Linked DNA regions of Alligator mississippiensis. The protein of the gene in region 1 purifies or fractionates together with the protein of each later gene. This does not show direct contact. Links are inferred from orthologs where the notes say so. Each region holds a gene or a part of one and is shown on either strand. Other genes may lie near its edges.

What was found.
Region 2: the proteins of NOP58 (region 1) and NUFIP1 purify together in Homo sapiens (co-immunoprecipitation; 3 studies listed by BioGRID and IntAct, with this or other methods). This does not show direct contact. The link is inferred for Alligator mississippiensis from reciprocal best matches to the Homo sapiens genes NOP58 and NUFIP1.

Annotation. Positions count from the first base shown.
Region 1 is NC_081827.1:171,307,970-171,316,108, reverse strand, and holds the start of NOP58 (nucleolar protein 58), read right to left. Parts: upstream 3,173-8,139; coding exon 3,128-3,172; coding exon of another isoform or gene 3,044-3,127; exon of another isoform or gene 2,893-3,043; intron 1-2,892. Other genes in the region: SUMO1 (small ubiquitin-related modifier 1), read left to right, coding at 3,044-3,245, 4,639-4,703. UniProt on the Homo sapiens protein: Required for the biogenesis of box C/D snoRNAs such as U3, U8 and U14 snoRNAs. Part of the small subunit (SSU) processome, first precursor of the small eukaryotic ribosomal subunit.
Region 2 is NC_081824.1:410,873,505-410,880,864, reverse strand, and holds the start of NUFIP1 (FMR1-interacting protein NUFIP1), read left to right. Parts: upstream 1-4,223; 5' UTR 4,224-4,299; coding exon 4,300-4,468; intron 4,469-5,454; coding exon 5,455-5,543; intron 5,544-6,033; coding exon 6,034-6,138; intron 6,139-7,360. Other genes in the region: GPALPP1 (GPALPP motifs-containing protein 1), read right to left, coding at 4,015-4,099. UniProt on the Homo sapiens protein: Binds RNA.

The DNA.
Region 1 (8,139 bases):
TTGCAACAATTTGTAGAACTCAACTCTTTGCTGAAAACAGTCAAATATGTCATAGCAGGTGCTATGAACTGGCTAGGCTAAGTGTTGAATAATCAAGACTCCCAAGGTCCCAATCAGAGCCGTTATCCAGTTTCCTAGGTGTGTGCACCCCCCCCCATAACAACAGAACAACACACAAAACCCCCTAACCACAAATGTCAACTTGAAAAAAGTGTGCTTTTTCTAGGGGTGCACCAATAGAGATTTTTGGGCTGATACTGATAGCCAATATTTAAATAGGCATATCCGCGGATACTGATACAATTTCTGATACAGCTGCCTCCAGCTGGTCAGTCCAGTGTGGTGGAAGAGGGGGAGGGAAAGGGAGGGGTGTGTGTGGGGGGGCATAGATCAATGGCCCCCATGGTGAGGGAGGGGGCAGGGGCTGCCCAGGCAAGGCAGGGGCACACCAGAGCTGCAGCTCTTTTGGGGGGAAAGGGGGGGGTGGAAAACAACATGCAGCTCCTGCTTTTGCTTGCACCCTGGGAGGGTGTGGCATGGGCCCCCCAGATCCACGCAGGGGCTCTTCTTGGTGGGGGCTGGACTCTGAGTGGGCACCGACAGTGCTGGGAGGATGCTTCATCTATTCCAAATTTTGCTGCCGCTCTGCTCCCAGTGCCACTGCCACCAGCCATAGCCCCGGCTCTTCCCTGCACGTGGGTGGAGGTGAGATGTTGGGGCAGGGCTGTGCCAGTTAGCTGGCAAAATTTGGGGTGGATGCAGTATCCTGCCAGTGCTGCCAGCACCTGCTCCAAGCCCAGCCCCCACTGAAAAGAGCCCTGCACAAACCCAGCTGCCCCAATCGGGAGGGGTGGGGGGGAAGGAGGACATGGCCAGGACGGGGACAGACATGCCCCTCCCCCACAGCCCTCCCAGGGTGCAAGCAGCAGTGGGAGCTGCCTCCCCCTGACAAGCTGTGGCTCTGGTCCCACCCCTCTCCCTCACCACAGGGTAGGGGTGGTGGTGGTGGTGGTGTTGATCTGCCCCTCCTGTCCTTCCCCTCCCTTCCCCCTCTCCTTCCACCACACTGGACTTCCCAGCTGGAGGCAGCTCTCCACGCTGAGGGCTCTACTCCTCTCTACTCCTCGCTGCCTGAGTGCTGTTCTGCGGCTGCGAGCAGCACGGGCATTTATCAGCCAAGTTATTGGCCCCATCAGGCCAATATCCAATAAAGTACCGATCCAATATCAGACTGATGTATCGGTGCACCTCTAGTTTTTTCGTCTGAGAACACTTCATCTTATTCAAATGGCCTACAGTTTGGATCAGCATGGGCATATATCTACACTACCTCTGTGACAAACCTGGGAGTCCTGCTAAAGAGGATTACCTATCCACTTGCTCTCACTCGCCATGCACCAAAGACCAGAAATTATGCCAAGCCTAGCTGTGTTAACAGAGCCCGGAGAATAAGCCCAGAGCTGCTTTCAGGTTCTGTCTTGGAGGAGCTTCTTGGTTTATGCTCATGCAAAGGCAGAGCAGAGCTGCACCTTGTAGATTAGTTAAACCAGAGATGCATAAGCTTTTTTAAACAAAGGATTTCCTTCATCAGATGATATGAACAGACTGCAAAAAGCAGAGCTTCTAAATAGAAAGCAGTGATTCGAATAAAACAGATACAAAAGAGAGGAAAATGGAGAGGGCACTGCTGTAAAAAAAAAAGTCACAGAATAGAGAATAACACAAAGCAGTTAACTCATTACAGGACATGGGGTTATAAATGCTAATCCAGGTAATGGGACAACAGTCCCTATTTATGCTACCCAATCTCTGGGCACTGGTGCTTTCTGAGCAGGTTGGAGTGGGAAGGATTTGATGGACAAAAAAAAGAAGGTGGTTGAAGAAAAATTTAGTTTTCTTCCTCTTTTGAGGAAGAAAAGAAAAAAAACCTGTTCTTTAAACAGAAATAAGTTTCTCATTTCAACTTTAGCAGGAAGCCAGCTCTGCTCTGAAGGGGTGAAGGCAGTTACCAAATTCCACATGAGATTAGCTCAGGAAGACCCTAACGCAGGTCTGAACCCCTGCCCAGGATCACAACACAAAAAAAGATCCAGCCACCCAGGAACCTTGGTTATCCACTTAGGAGCAATGGTCTCCCATCTTCACTGACCCTTCTCCAAAGGACATCATTTGTCTCGTCATCTCCTCAACCTGTTTTCGCTTTTTGACTTTTTGTAGCTGTCAGGAATATCGGACAGCCTTGCAGGCTCCCATGAGGTATGGGTTAGGGCCCACTGCTTATACACCGAGATACAGATGAGGCCACATGCCAAATAAAATAGAAAAGGGAAATATAATCTTTTCCTTGAGTGTAACAGCAGACTTTGTCACCACTACCCCAGTTTTTGTGTACCATTTTAACAGGCACAGATACTTCTCCCAAGCCAAAAGCCTTTTATAGATCATTCATATTCAATCTGCTCTAAAAGTCAACATGCCTTGTAAACTTGTGTTTTGATACCACGCGTGCCTTACACTTATTTAAAGACAACAGGTGCAAAATATCCCTCCAGCCTTTTTAAGTGCCAGAGGCTTGCTACACCCAGGCTAAGAACATTGCAGAAACATACACTGCACGGACTTGGGGGAGCCTGCAACCAAGAGAAAGAGAGGGAGAGGAAACAGGGGGAGGACAATGAACCGCACTGGTTTTGTAAGTACTGCGGGTCGGGGTGGCGGCCCGCGGGCCCGGCGGAGGAGGGAGCGGCTGCGTGGAGCGGCGCTGCCCCGCGCGGGACCCCACGGGCTGCGAGCGCGCCGGGGGGTGGGGGCAAGGCCACCCCTCAACGGCGCTGCCTGCCAGCCAGCGCCCTCGCGGCGGAGCCCAGGCCTGGCACAGACACCATGGCCACGTGCGCCCGGGCCTGGGCCCGAGCCCGGGCCCGCGCCAGGCCGGTCGGAGCAGGGCCGGCGCAGCAGGCGGAGAGCGGGAAGTGGGCGCCGGCGCCCCGGCCTCCGCCCACACGCGGCGCAGGAGGAGCTCGCCACGCCGGGGCATCAGTCAATGCGGAGCCGCCCGCACCCCACGGCAGAGGCCCCGGCCCGAGCGCGGCGACAGCGCTCAGCTCCCGGCTCGCCTCCTGCTGACCTTGAAGATAGCGTAGCCGGCCGCGGTCTCGAACAGCACCAGCATCGTGCGGCCACGTGTCCAGCCGCTGCGGGCTCGGCTGCATGCGAGCCACAGTCCGGAAGTGCGACGGCCGGAAGTGAGCAGCGCGCGAAGCTGGGGTGGGGGCGGGGCTGGGTGTAAAGTGGGCAGGGGGTGGGGTGGGGAAGATGCATTTCCGCTTCTTCCGCCTGGGCCTAGGCTTTTCCCAGCTTACGTGGCGGGAGGTGGAGGGTGGTGCTAACGTCACGGCCCTCTGAGAGTCGTTAGTCTCGTTCCCCTGAAGGCGGGGCGGGGTTTCGGCGCCGCCTCTGCAGCCGGAGGACGAGGCGTTGTCCTTGCTTGTGGCGGCGCCCGGAGGGCCCCGCGCAGCTCTCGCCCTTCTCGTCCTGGCCGTGGGAGTGGGGTTTGGGTCTCCCCTCATAGCCGTCTTGGCCCACGCGCCCGCTGCCTGTAGCTGAGACCAGGGCAGCCCAGCCCTCCTGCCCGCCCCCCTGCTCCCCCGGGTGGTTTTGCTTTAACGCGTTCAGATAAAAATGGCTCATTTTGGCTAAGATCAAGTGTACTCATTCCTGGCCTTTTATAAGCTAAGAGCACGTGTAGTCCACGAAGGCTCAGGACAAGCCTAGCGGCTTCTTAACCTGGCAGGGGAAATACCACGTAACTGTTCAAGTAGGCAGCTTTCCTGGACTGCTTCACAGGGGTACTGCTCTTCTGGCATGGTCCAGTCCCTGCCGAGCTGCAGCAGCTTTAAGCCCACTTCATGGAAATGGGAGTCTCCTCCTGTTTGCTCTGAGGGATTTACGACTGAGGGCAAGCGAAACTCAGGGGCATCCGAACCCCAAGCCTCGGGGCTTGGGCCTGCAAGTAGGATGCCCGCTGCAGGGTTTGGAAACGTCTGAAGCCCCAGATGGGGATGGAGGATATTTGCTGGTAGTAGGGCCACTTATGGTTTTGGACTCTTGGATTTGAATTTGGTTTTGGCTAATTCGGCCTTGGATACAAATTAAATAAAAATAAATAAATAAATAAAAAAATTCTTACCTGGCGGAGGAAATATAATCACCAGGCCTCTTGTGGGCTAGCAAGTGGTTTTCCGAGGCCTGTCCCTTGTTGCACTCCAGGCACCCCCAGACCCCTGTGAGTTTCCCTAAATGTAGGAGACTTGACTGCAGAATCTTGTGGTAAAGGGGGACTGCTTTTTTGCTTTCCTCCTGGTTTGCTCCTTGACTTTTTGGCTAAGAGCAAGCAAAACTAGGATGCATCTGAACCCCAGGGTCCCTGGGTTGGCACATACCATGTTGGCTACAGATTTGAGGAGTATCTGAAGCCCAAGATGGGTGATGTGAGGCTAGGAAGGAGGATACTTGCCCAGTGGTAGAGCCACATGGACTTGAATGATGGCTCTGCTCAGTTGAAACTTGGAACTTGACTCTTGCGTTTTGTCCAATAGAATTTGGAACTGATTTGGCTCTTCTTCCGTATGGCTTTAGGAGCAAGAGCTGTCGTCACCATTTTAATTCCACATTTCCCAACCAGACCAATGCCCTGCTGGAAAGTAAGTGCAACTCCAAGACGTCTTCCTCAAACTTGTATCTGGGGCAGGATGTTATTATGTGCTCCATGGTTTGGTCAGGGTTTCCAGTCTCAGCCAGGGGAGGTTTTGAGGTGCTTCTACTTCAGATGGCCACACCAGCCAAGTCTAGTGCATATCCTATTAAGGGTTGTCCATGTGCTCTATGGAAGGTTGAAGCTTGGTTGTTGCATTGTTGGGTTGGAAATGAGGTGTTTGTTTAGGAAAGTGTTTTCTGCCCATGCTTTCCTCCGAGGTTCTTCAGTGTTGTGGTATAGCAGGTGCTCGGTTAGTGTCCAAAAGGGTTTTTGTGAGATCATGTGACAAGTTGGGGGATCTTGAAGGATGATCTCTGTGGATGGGAAGCTCCAGATTACTATTGATACACATTATTTCCCTGTATATTGCTGCATCCCATTGAACAGAGGGAGGAGTAATGTATGAAATTACTGGCAGCCACTGCACTGGAGTTGATATCAAAATTCCAGAGATGGTCCTCGTTACTGAGAAGAGTTGTGTGTCGGTGAATTTGGTATGTCAACTTGAGGCCCAAATGGGTGCACGGTACTCAGCTGTTGAGAAGACCAGGGCTTTGGCAGAAGTGCAGAGGGTGGTGGCTTGTGCACCTCAGCTTGTGCTTTTGTTTTCATGGCAGTCTTTCAGAGATGATAATGGTAGGTTAGGAAGCAGTCAAGGTCTACCCAAAGGTAGGTAGGAGTCAGGTTGTGACGCACTTTTTCTTTACAAAAGGTGACATTGAGGGTGTTATGTGCCTTGTGATTGTCAAGATGGAATGTGGAGACAATGAACTTGGTTGGATTTGGTTGTAATCTGCACTTGTGGAAGTATTCAGCCATTATTGATAAATCAGAGTTCAGTGTGGCTTCGATAGCCTGAAAAAAATTTGCTTGTGTGGTCAAAGTGATATCATCGGCTTAGGTACATTGATGATGTGTAGGGCATATCACTTGTATAGATATTAAAAACTATCGGTGCCAGAACACTACCCTGTGGCAGGCTGTTGTTGAATATTCTTGGAGTCAGGCTGACCTTATCTCATAGGTAGATCTTCATCCTTCTGTTGCTCATCAAAGTCAACAGCAGCCGAAGTAATTTGTCACATGGTAGTAGCAGAGACAGTTTGAGCATCAGTCCATGTTCCCACACAGTATCATAAGCTGAGGAAAGATCTGTGAAGGTGGCCCCAGTCTTTAGCTTGTGGTGAAAACCAGTCTCAATGTAATGATGGCAAGGACTTGTTCGCAGCAGCTACAGTGGGGTCTAAAGCCAGCTTGCCTGTTCTTGGGGGAGAAGTAGGTTGATGATGGGGCTGATTCTTAGAAGGATGAGCTGCTCCAGGAACTTATAGGTTGTGCAGAGCAAAGAGATGGGCCTGTAGCTCCCAGGGTCATGTACTAGCTTTCCTAGTTTTGGCAGGGCTATCACCATTGCCTCATGCCAGATTTGTGAAGTATGGCCATTCTCCATCACAGTTGAAAAGAGCCAGAAGCCATTGTTTTGCCAGTGGGTCAAGATGGTGGAGGAATTCTGGTGGAATACCATCTTTCCTAGCAGCTTTGCCCTTCTTTGTGGATGCTAGGCCAGCATCCAGTTCCGCAGGAGTGAAACGGGGTGGATAGTGACAGCCTTGTTATGGCCCACCCTATTAAGCAGTTTCTTGACTTCTTTAATTTCTTGAATCTCTGAATTTTTTAATTCCTGAGTCCACAACTAATGTCACTGGAACAGCAACTGAATGCTTTTAACTGGCCTCCTGGTCAGTGAAGCAAAACTAAACACTTGACATGATTACAACAATCCCTTTCAAGACTAAGCACCCCCAAATTTTGGCCCTTGATCCAAAAAAAAAAGAGAAACCCATTTTCTTTGTTTAATTGAATGCTCCTGTCATGCAGCTGTTTAGTTCTTAATTATTTCTCCTTTTAAAATGTTCAAATTGACCTTCAGAATATCTTGTGTCAATACATGCTCTTGGGCCCCTGCAGCACGTAACATTTGTTGCACAATAAGCTGGTGAGTCAGTCACGCCATAAATTTATACCAGATACACAGGCAAAATAATTCTCACACCAGAAAAATGACTGTCCCATTATAAAAATAGCTGACCAGCTGAAAAGCTAGTGCTTGAAAATGTCTAGCAACTTGATAGCTGGTTTCTATCCAGAAATAATTTGAAGGTATAACAGTGCCCTGATGTATGTGCTTGTGTGTGTGTGTGTGTATTACACTGCAGCAGTCTGGTTCAGCTTCATTGGATGACCAGATTGGCATGTCCTGAGTTGACCTTTTGGCTTAACAAGTTACTGATATGGAGTTGCACTTCTCTTGTTAACAGGCAATCCAGGTGAATTTGTGTATGGACTAGAAATACTTGTCCTAGTTTTTTTTGCTTGGACATGGTTACATTTATGCACATTCAGATCTTGAGTGTTAAGTTGTATGTGAATGTATGGCTGCTCTTCCTGCACAACCTGTAAAATCAACATGCTTTTTCAGTACAGGGGAATGTGGCCAAATTGGATTGCTTTCAAATGTTCATTTGTTCCACCTAATGGTTCACTGTGAAAGTGCATCCTTACTATGTATGATGGTACTTGACCTACTTTCCTATATGCGTTGAATAATTTAAAGGCTGAGTATTAAATGATAAAATAGAAGGGGCCTAAATCAGCCCTTGCTTTAGGTTACCTCCCTTGACTTCATCTTCAGTATTACCTGAATAAAGGAAAAGATTGGGTTCCCAGTACAAAGGGAAAATGAAGGAAGATGGGTTGGGGAGGGGGAAGAAGTTAAGAATCTTAAGAATTGGGTCATACTAAAGGTTGTGTAGCTCAGTGGCCTGTTTCTGACTATGGTGAATACTGGATACATTAGAGGAAGTGTATAATAAACAGCATAGAGCAATCCCTCCACTTTCATACCTTCCAGTCACCTTAAATAGGTTGTGTCCTTGACTGTTCTATTTAATAGACTCCAATGAAGCTATCATCCCTAAACTCACCTGTTCCCTTTGCACTATTGCCCCCCCTCCATCAATGTGGCAGTGAGTTTCACATGTTAATTATGCAGTATTTTTTAAAACCTGTTGCCTGATGATTTCACATGCAGTGAGGCATAGTAAATAACAGTTCCCTATTTACTTCTTCCATACCGTTCATATTTTTATATACCTCTTTAATTTCTCTCCTTGGTCTTCTTTTTTCCAAGCTGAAGAATTGCAGGCTTTTCAGCCTCTCTTCAGATCCTGTTTATCTTCGTTATCTTTCTTTTTTACTTTTTCCTGTTCTAGCATGCCCTGTCTGAGATGACGTGGCAAGAATTGCATGAAGTATTCAAGAGGTGGGTGCACCATGGATTTATATAATGGCATAATGGTTTTCTGTTTTGTCTTCCATTCCTT
Region 2 (7,360 bases), on another chromosome or scaffold:
CACTGAAGACCTGATAAGCCAAAAACACCTTTAGGATCTAATTCTGCAAACAGCTGTTCATTTAACTTTGCTTCCATGAATAGTGTCAGTGACTTCCAGGGCAATGCTCACACATGCAACATTACTCAAAAGATTTAGTGTCAGTTCCTTAAGCTGGGAACTTTGTTGTTCAAGTCCTTGCTTTAGTGAATATTATTTAAACAAAGTTTAACAGCCCCAATAGGAAACCCATCCTAGAATAGCCAACAGCCTGGTAGCTACAGAACCCAGCTAACCTGAAAAAGGGTGTGGACACATGATATTATCACTACAGAGTAATTTATCTACATTTTACTCTGTAATAAATTCACAATAAGTTTATCAAAGTTATGTTTAATAAATAGAACCCAGACTCCCTCTGCCAAATTAACTGTCTGCAGGAGGAGTTATTATAGCATTTGGCCTCTAGGTGACAACGGAGAGGGTTTGCACTGTTAAAACAGTGACCCCTGGATGAAACTGCCTTTCTGAAGGGTTATTTTACCATTGAGTAAGGCTGAATACTTCGCATCTACTCCACTTTTACTTGGGGTGAAGTCCAATTACTCTGGTGTAAAAGCACTGTGTGTCTACCCTCTTGGGCAGAAAAGAAACATGACTCAGGATTGATCGCATCACAGGTGAGTGTCCTAACCTCTGGGCTGTCTCCTCTCTCTCCAATTTTGATGAGAAATTCTAACCTGGGTTTGAGATGCCTTTCCTGAACAACGTATAGTGCAAATGAACACATTTCCATGAAAATTTTGAGTTTCAACAAATAAATACTTTCCACTAAAACAGCACTTGGTCAGAACATTCTTCAATGGCTGTATTCAAAATACATGACCCATAAGTGTATTTGTGCCTTTAAACTAAGAAGGAAAGTGATATTATTTAAAAGTACTTAACATAGTTTGAATTCAGTTCACCTCTCTTAAAGCCATTATTATACGGCTGTGTTTCCCATTCCAGAGCGTCTTTCACAGAATCTTCTCACAGATACGAACGAAGTTTAGCCTAAAGTCATCTAACTGCAGTGAAGATAATGTCTTTCTTGCACAAACAAGTTATTCATTTTCTATGCATCCTGGTAGCTAAGAAGTGGCTGCTTCAAATATAAGACAAATGCAGGCAAGCACAAACACACAGACATTTATGAACATGCCCTATTTTATCTTGTCTGGTGTTGGTGGTCTAACAGCAGGGTCCAACTCATTTGGCTCAGCAGCTGGATGAGTTGCATGAGACCGGTCTGCAGGCCCGATGTGGCATGCAAGGTCATATCATCCAGCCTGCAGGGGCTACCCAGAGGTTCAGAAATTTGGCAGGACGAACATGGAGCTGTGGCAATTAATGCAGTTGCCACTCATCCTGCTGCCAAATTTCTGGTCCTGTGTGGAGCCCTGTGGGCTGCATGATGCAGCTCCCCAACCCAGATACAGGTGGCAGACCATACCTTGGTCACCCTTGGTTGGACCCTACTGTTAGACCACCCACACTTTTCCAGTGCGTTTAAAAAATGCTCTTCTTTTGTAGGGATGAGCTAATTATTTCTAGACATACAATTAAACTTTCTACTAAGAATAATTACAGACCTCTCCAATAAATGGCATAGGATTTGACAAGATGGCCTTACGCAAGCCAAAAGTAGCAATAAATACTGACGTACAACAGAGCAACCTATTGCCAGTGCAGCAAATGAGATTTAGGTCCAAGGTAGGCGATGTGCATGGATGGATCCAGGATTTTGAAAAGTGGGGTGCAGAATACATGATAAATCACCATGTGACACATTTTCTCCAGTTCAAGAGAAACTAGACGCTTTACTTATATCCTAAGGGCCTTAGGCCATATTATTAAGTTTAAGATCACAGCAAACTATTGGAATGTGTACCAATTTGCTAGGCATATGTATCAATTGAAAAAAAACAAACTAGACGAATAAAGTATAGCATGTCATTAGTCCTGCAGTCACTATAGTTAAATGTACATCTCTTATCAGATTCACAAAACAAAATCTAGCCTTTTTGAATGTCTTGGCAGTGCCTCAAATATTTCACTGTCAGTCATGTCTAAATCTGAGTTAATATGACCACACCTGAGTTAAGGTTTTTAGCTAGAGATCAAAAGCATCTGTAGGGCTGTGAAATGGAAGAGACTCATTACCAGGAATGGCAAACAGACAGCAAAATGGCAGAAGAAAGAATAGCTTGAATAGTGGAAGATCAAGACCATAAAAGGGAGGAAGAATCCTTAACACCTGTGGAATGAAGAGAGATTAGCAGGACTCAGGAAGAAGATAATGAGCCACGAAGTCAATTGACTATCTCATCACTGCCTGAACAGAAAGACCGCTAACCCCCACACGCAGTTGGCTTTAAAGTTTGGGTGAAGCGGGGGGGGGGGGGGGGGGGGGCGCAAGTGCACCTTTACATCCACCCTGCATCTTTCCATGGGCGTATGTATACACATCTGGGACCCCTGATCCATTGATTCTCAGCCAGGTCCCACACCACCCTAGGCTGCCTCAATATCCTTTACAAGGTGACGTGGAGTGTCTGCGTGCAAGTCACAACATAAACAAGAACATTTCCAACAGGAGCCAGCAGCATCAAGACCCGGCTACATGTTTAAATGAAAGGTGGATGGAAACCAGCTGTAGAGCTGTTACACATTTCCAAGCACTAAATTTGTAGCCAGTAGGTTCTTTTTAATTTTGGAGAGTCCTTTTTATGGTGGGAGATTGCTTGGCGTGTGTGGACAGTCTAAATTTACAGCACGCTTCACCAATGAATGGCAAAAAGTCATGGGCATAATTCACTGGGGAATCGTGCCACAAACGTAGACTGGCCACAGATGCAGGGTCATTGTCACATGCAGGGTGACTTAACTTCAAAATGGAAAGGCAAGACATGTCTCTGCCTCTCCTCCCCACCCCTTCCTGCCAGCAGCAGAGCCAAGCAGAGCGGGCGCAGGTGTGGGCTGCCTGCTGTGAACCTGGGGCTCCCAGCCCCACTGCCTTTTCCCTGGGAGCCCTGCACTGGCTGTGTGCCCCCTGTCCACCCGGGAGCAGCATAGGGCACAAGTCCACGCCAACACTGCCCCTTGCCAGAGGGGTACAGCCAGCATGGGGCTCCCAGGAGAAGGGCAGCAGGGCAGGGAGCCCCAAGCCTGCATTCAACTCCACCCCATGCAGAAAACTGGGGGGAGGGGGGGACACACGACACGACAGACGGACACATGTGCCTGCAGTGACAGGGAGCTGCCCCCTGTACTCCCTCCCCAGATGAACCACCCGTGCCTCCGTCCAGCTCCATGTCCCACCCTGGGCAGTGCTGCCAGCCCCCTAGCCCACTCCCTGCCTCACCGTGGGGGTCTCAATCTGCCGCCCACCATGTCCCTTCCCCCCCCCTCACAGACTTACCTGCAGGGAGCTGCTCTCCACACTTCCTGGCTGTATCCCCAGCCATGTTCATACAGCACCTCCTGCATCCTGCTCCCCTCAGCCCCAAGCAGCACCTTCGTGCCGCGAATGGAAAACCCAGATCCCTGCACAATACTGCAAATCCGGGACAAATACTGTCTGGAGTCATGCAGCCCAGGACCAGGGCTTGAAGTTCCCATTTTGGGACTGCCCTGCCCAATTAGGGATGGGCAGTCACCCTAGTCCAGGGGCTCCCAACCTTTTTTAGATCACGGACCAGCAAGCTGTGGCCCAAAAACGACCATGACCAACAAACTGCAGTGTGGAAGTGACCGGCATACCGTGGAGAGGCAGCCAACCCTTTTTTATACTCAGTCGGATGCCTTTCCCGGTCCGGTAGCCAACCCTCGTGCGGCCCGGCCGCCAACCCGCTGCGGCCCGGGGGTTGGGAACCTCTGCCCTAGTCACACGTGCCACAACCAGAGCCGAGCCCCGCTCCGAGGCCGGGAGCGGCCTGAACGCGACGGAGCGCAGAGGCTGGTGGGCAGCAACGGCCACCGCCCCCTCCTCACCCTGCGTGAAGTCCTCGTCGGGGTCCGCCTCGGGGCAGCGCGGGAAGCCCGGGGGCAGCGCCGGCCCGATCAGCTCCCGGGCCATAACAAAAGCGCCGGCACAGCGCAACGCAACCAGACTCCGCCGCGCTTCCGGCGTCGCCCGATGACGTTACTAGCTGCCCATTGGCCGGCTCTGCGCCACGAGGGGGGGACGTGGTGTTTACAGCGGGCCCGGAAGTGACGCGCAATGTGGTGGCCCCCGAGGCGGTCCATGTGGAGGCAGCAGCAAGGGTCGGGCCCGACATGAATCCCTTCGCTTGGTATCCTCCGCCGCCGCCCCCCGTGTTCTGCGCGCCGCCTGCCTGGGAACCCGGCTTCTGGGGGCCGCCCGCCGACTTCGGGCCTCCCGGCGCCTGGTACCAGCCCCCGCCGGCGCCCGGCTACGGGGAGCAGCACCCGGGCCCGCCCCCAGGTACGCGGCGGGAGGAGCAGTGCTGAGGCACCTGGAGCCGCTGCCCGTACACCGTCCTGCGAGCTCTGGCTGTCTCAAGTTACAGAGGCTGGGGGTGGCCCGTGCATGGGACGCATGTGGCTGATCCCACCGGGGGCAGAGAGCAGGTTGGGAAGGGGATTGGAGCAGCCCTCGGGCTGATTGGTGGCACCGCCTGTGCCTGGGGTGTGCCAGTGCTCCTGCTGGGGCATAAACCTTGAGGTTCATGGCTGGAGGGTCTTGCTTCTCTGCTCAGGTCAGACTGATCCCCATATTTGGCAGCAGGAAGGAATTTTACCCCAGGGTCAGATTGGTAGGGCTGTGGGGGGTTTTGCCTTCCTCTCTAATGTGGGGTGCAGACCTCTCTGTACCCAGGGTCTCTTGAGTTCATATTGGCAACCTTTTACAGAAGCAGGATGTTGGTTGCTGCAGTCCATCTGCTTTACCTGTGGCAGGTTAGGGTGCGATGTCTTGTGTTGCATAAAGGTTGGCAGTAGTTTTCCAAAGAGGTTAGATTATATATTTGTTTTGGTTGATTTTAATTAGGGATGATCCTGCCTTGGGCGGGGTTGACCTCTGGAGGTCCGTTCAGGCTCAACTTCTATGCAGTTCTATGGAAAGGTTGGCTCCAATAACTAAGGTCAAAGCTTTTCAACCTGTAGCCCTGGGGGTCTGTACAATATTTAAAAGGGATCTGTAGAAGATGAGATCAATCGGAAGTATGCGAATACCCAGCTTACAATTCAAAGGAGTCCACACCCCCACTCAATTTTTTTTAAGGGTCCGCAAATGAAAAAAGGTTGAAAAGCGCTAACTTAGGCTGTGCACTCTTCTTCTGCTCCCCCTTCCCTTAAATATAATCCTGGTGGAAATAGGGTGTATTTTCACATTGCATTTTTATCACTTTTAATTTATAATTGCTGCTTTTTAATTTTCTTTTTGTTTTTTGGTAACTGGTGTTGTTGAAGGTGGAAGCTGCCATTTTGCCTCAGAATGGCAAGCTGAGCAAACACCCCCGTATTACAGACGTTCTGGCAGTGGAAACTACAAACAGAAGGTACTCACTATAATTGTTATGTCGAGCATGCAGCCTCAGGTGTAGTTCAAGTACAGAGTACTCTCAATTGAAACACATGGCGCATGCACCATGATGTGTCTGTAAGCCTAAATTCAGTATCGTGGGGTGCTTCTTTATTGTTGAGATGGGCTGGCCTCCTGCAAGAATCTTTTTCTCATGATTCATTTGATATCTTCAGTCTACCTAGATATTCAAAGCTTGGGATGGGTTGGTGGTAGCATTGATGCTTTAAAAAGAAAAGTAAACGGAACCTATTTGACTTTAAAAGCTGAGAGAAGTGGAATATGGTAGTTTGATTTAAAATTACTTTTCAGACTAAGCTGCATTTCAGATATCTGGAGTATTGAAATTCCAATTGATATAAAATATTTTCAACGCTTTCTTCATAGCATGTTACTTTATTTAAAATAAGAGCCAATATTTTTAATCAATTTCTTTAACCCTGTCCCCCTTTTTTCTCTTTTGGCAGAACAAAAAGAAAAAAGAACCAGATTTTGCTCACTATTGTGATACGTGTGACCGTGGCTTTAAAAACCAAGAAAAGTATGATGAACACATTGCACAGCACACACAGGTTGGGTTTGTTTATTTTTAGGAAGTCTATATTAAAGTAATGTTTTTGGCCTTCTGTCAACGTTCTTTCATTTTGGTGTTTGATTTTGTAACCTCACCGTAGTTTGTCATGGTCAGTGTCTGAATGGAAGATCTCTAGAGGGGATCCGTGTTCTACAAGGGTGGTATCAGTTGGTAATATTTGCATTAGAATCAGTACTTTTACCTTAACTGGGATCTAAGACAAGGAGTATAGTGCTAGTGCTAATTAGTATCCTTTTTGATTAAGAGGTAAAGCTAAGGTCCCAGTTAAATCTGTAACTTTTGCCTGTAGTTGCATGGGATTGGCTGTTGGTGACCCTGATGCTGAAAGCATATCTGGGTTTGAAACCTGTGTGAAATATTAAGGGATTTCCTACTCCAGATCTGAGTTAAATGCAGTTTTTCCATCCCATTGTTCCGTCCAGTGTCCCATGGTTCTTCCATTGAAAACAGTTCCACAATAGGAGTAATTCTTAGGTGCCATTTGCTCTACTTCTATCACTTCAAGCAAGAAACTGTAGTGAAGTTCTACCTTGCTGGTCGCTGAGAGTTGTAATCTGAATTTTAACAGGTATTTAGTTTCCCTTAATAAAGACTAGGGGCAATGTAGACTTTGTACCTAATAGTTCAAAAGATCTTGTAGCTTAATAGTGTGTAGCTGGTGGCTTTGTATGCTTTAAACAGTTCTGGGTTAAGTTTAACTTCGGGGAAATAGATTTCTTCTCTGTCCCTTTGTTATATAACACTTGTGAAATAATAATAGGACCTTTTGCTTACAGAGTGCTGTGGATCAGTTCACCAGCACCATCAGTCCTCAAATGGAAAGAATTTTGTTTTGAAAAACGCTTTGGGGAGGTGTAATGGAGAGCCAGAAGATTCTTGTTACTTGAGGAGAAAACAGTAGCAGCCAGAGCTGGCTGCAAGGAAAATAATCAGCCAGGGGAAGAGGCAGAGGCTAGGAGTGCCTATCAAAGCTGGTTATTCTGTGATAATCTAGCAGGGAAGAATCCTGCTTGGGAAGCATGGGCCCTGCTGCAGCAGCAAGGCCAGGAGCGGTGAGCTGCATTGGAGCCTTGTCAGCAAGCTTACTAGGGAAACATTTGAGGCAGCTCAGGGAGTCACATGACCAAATGGAGCATGGCTTCCAGCCATATAAACCCAGGGCCTGAATCAGAGCAGGCAGTCTGGCCCTGGAGGCTGCG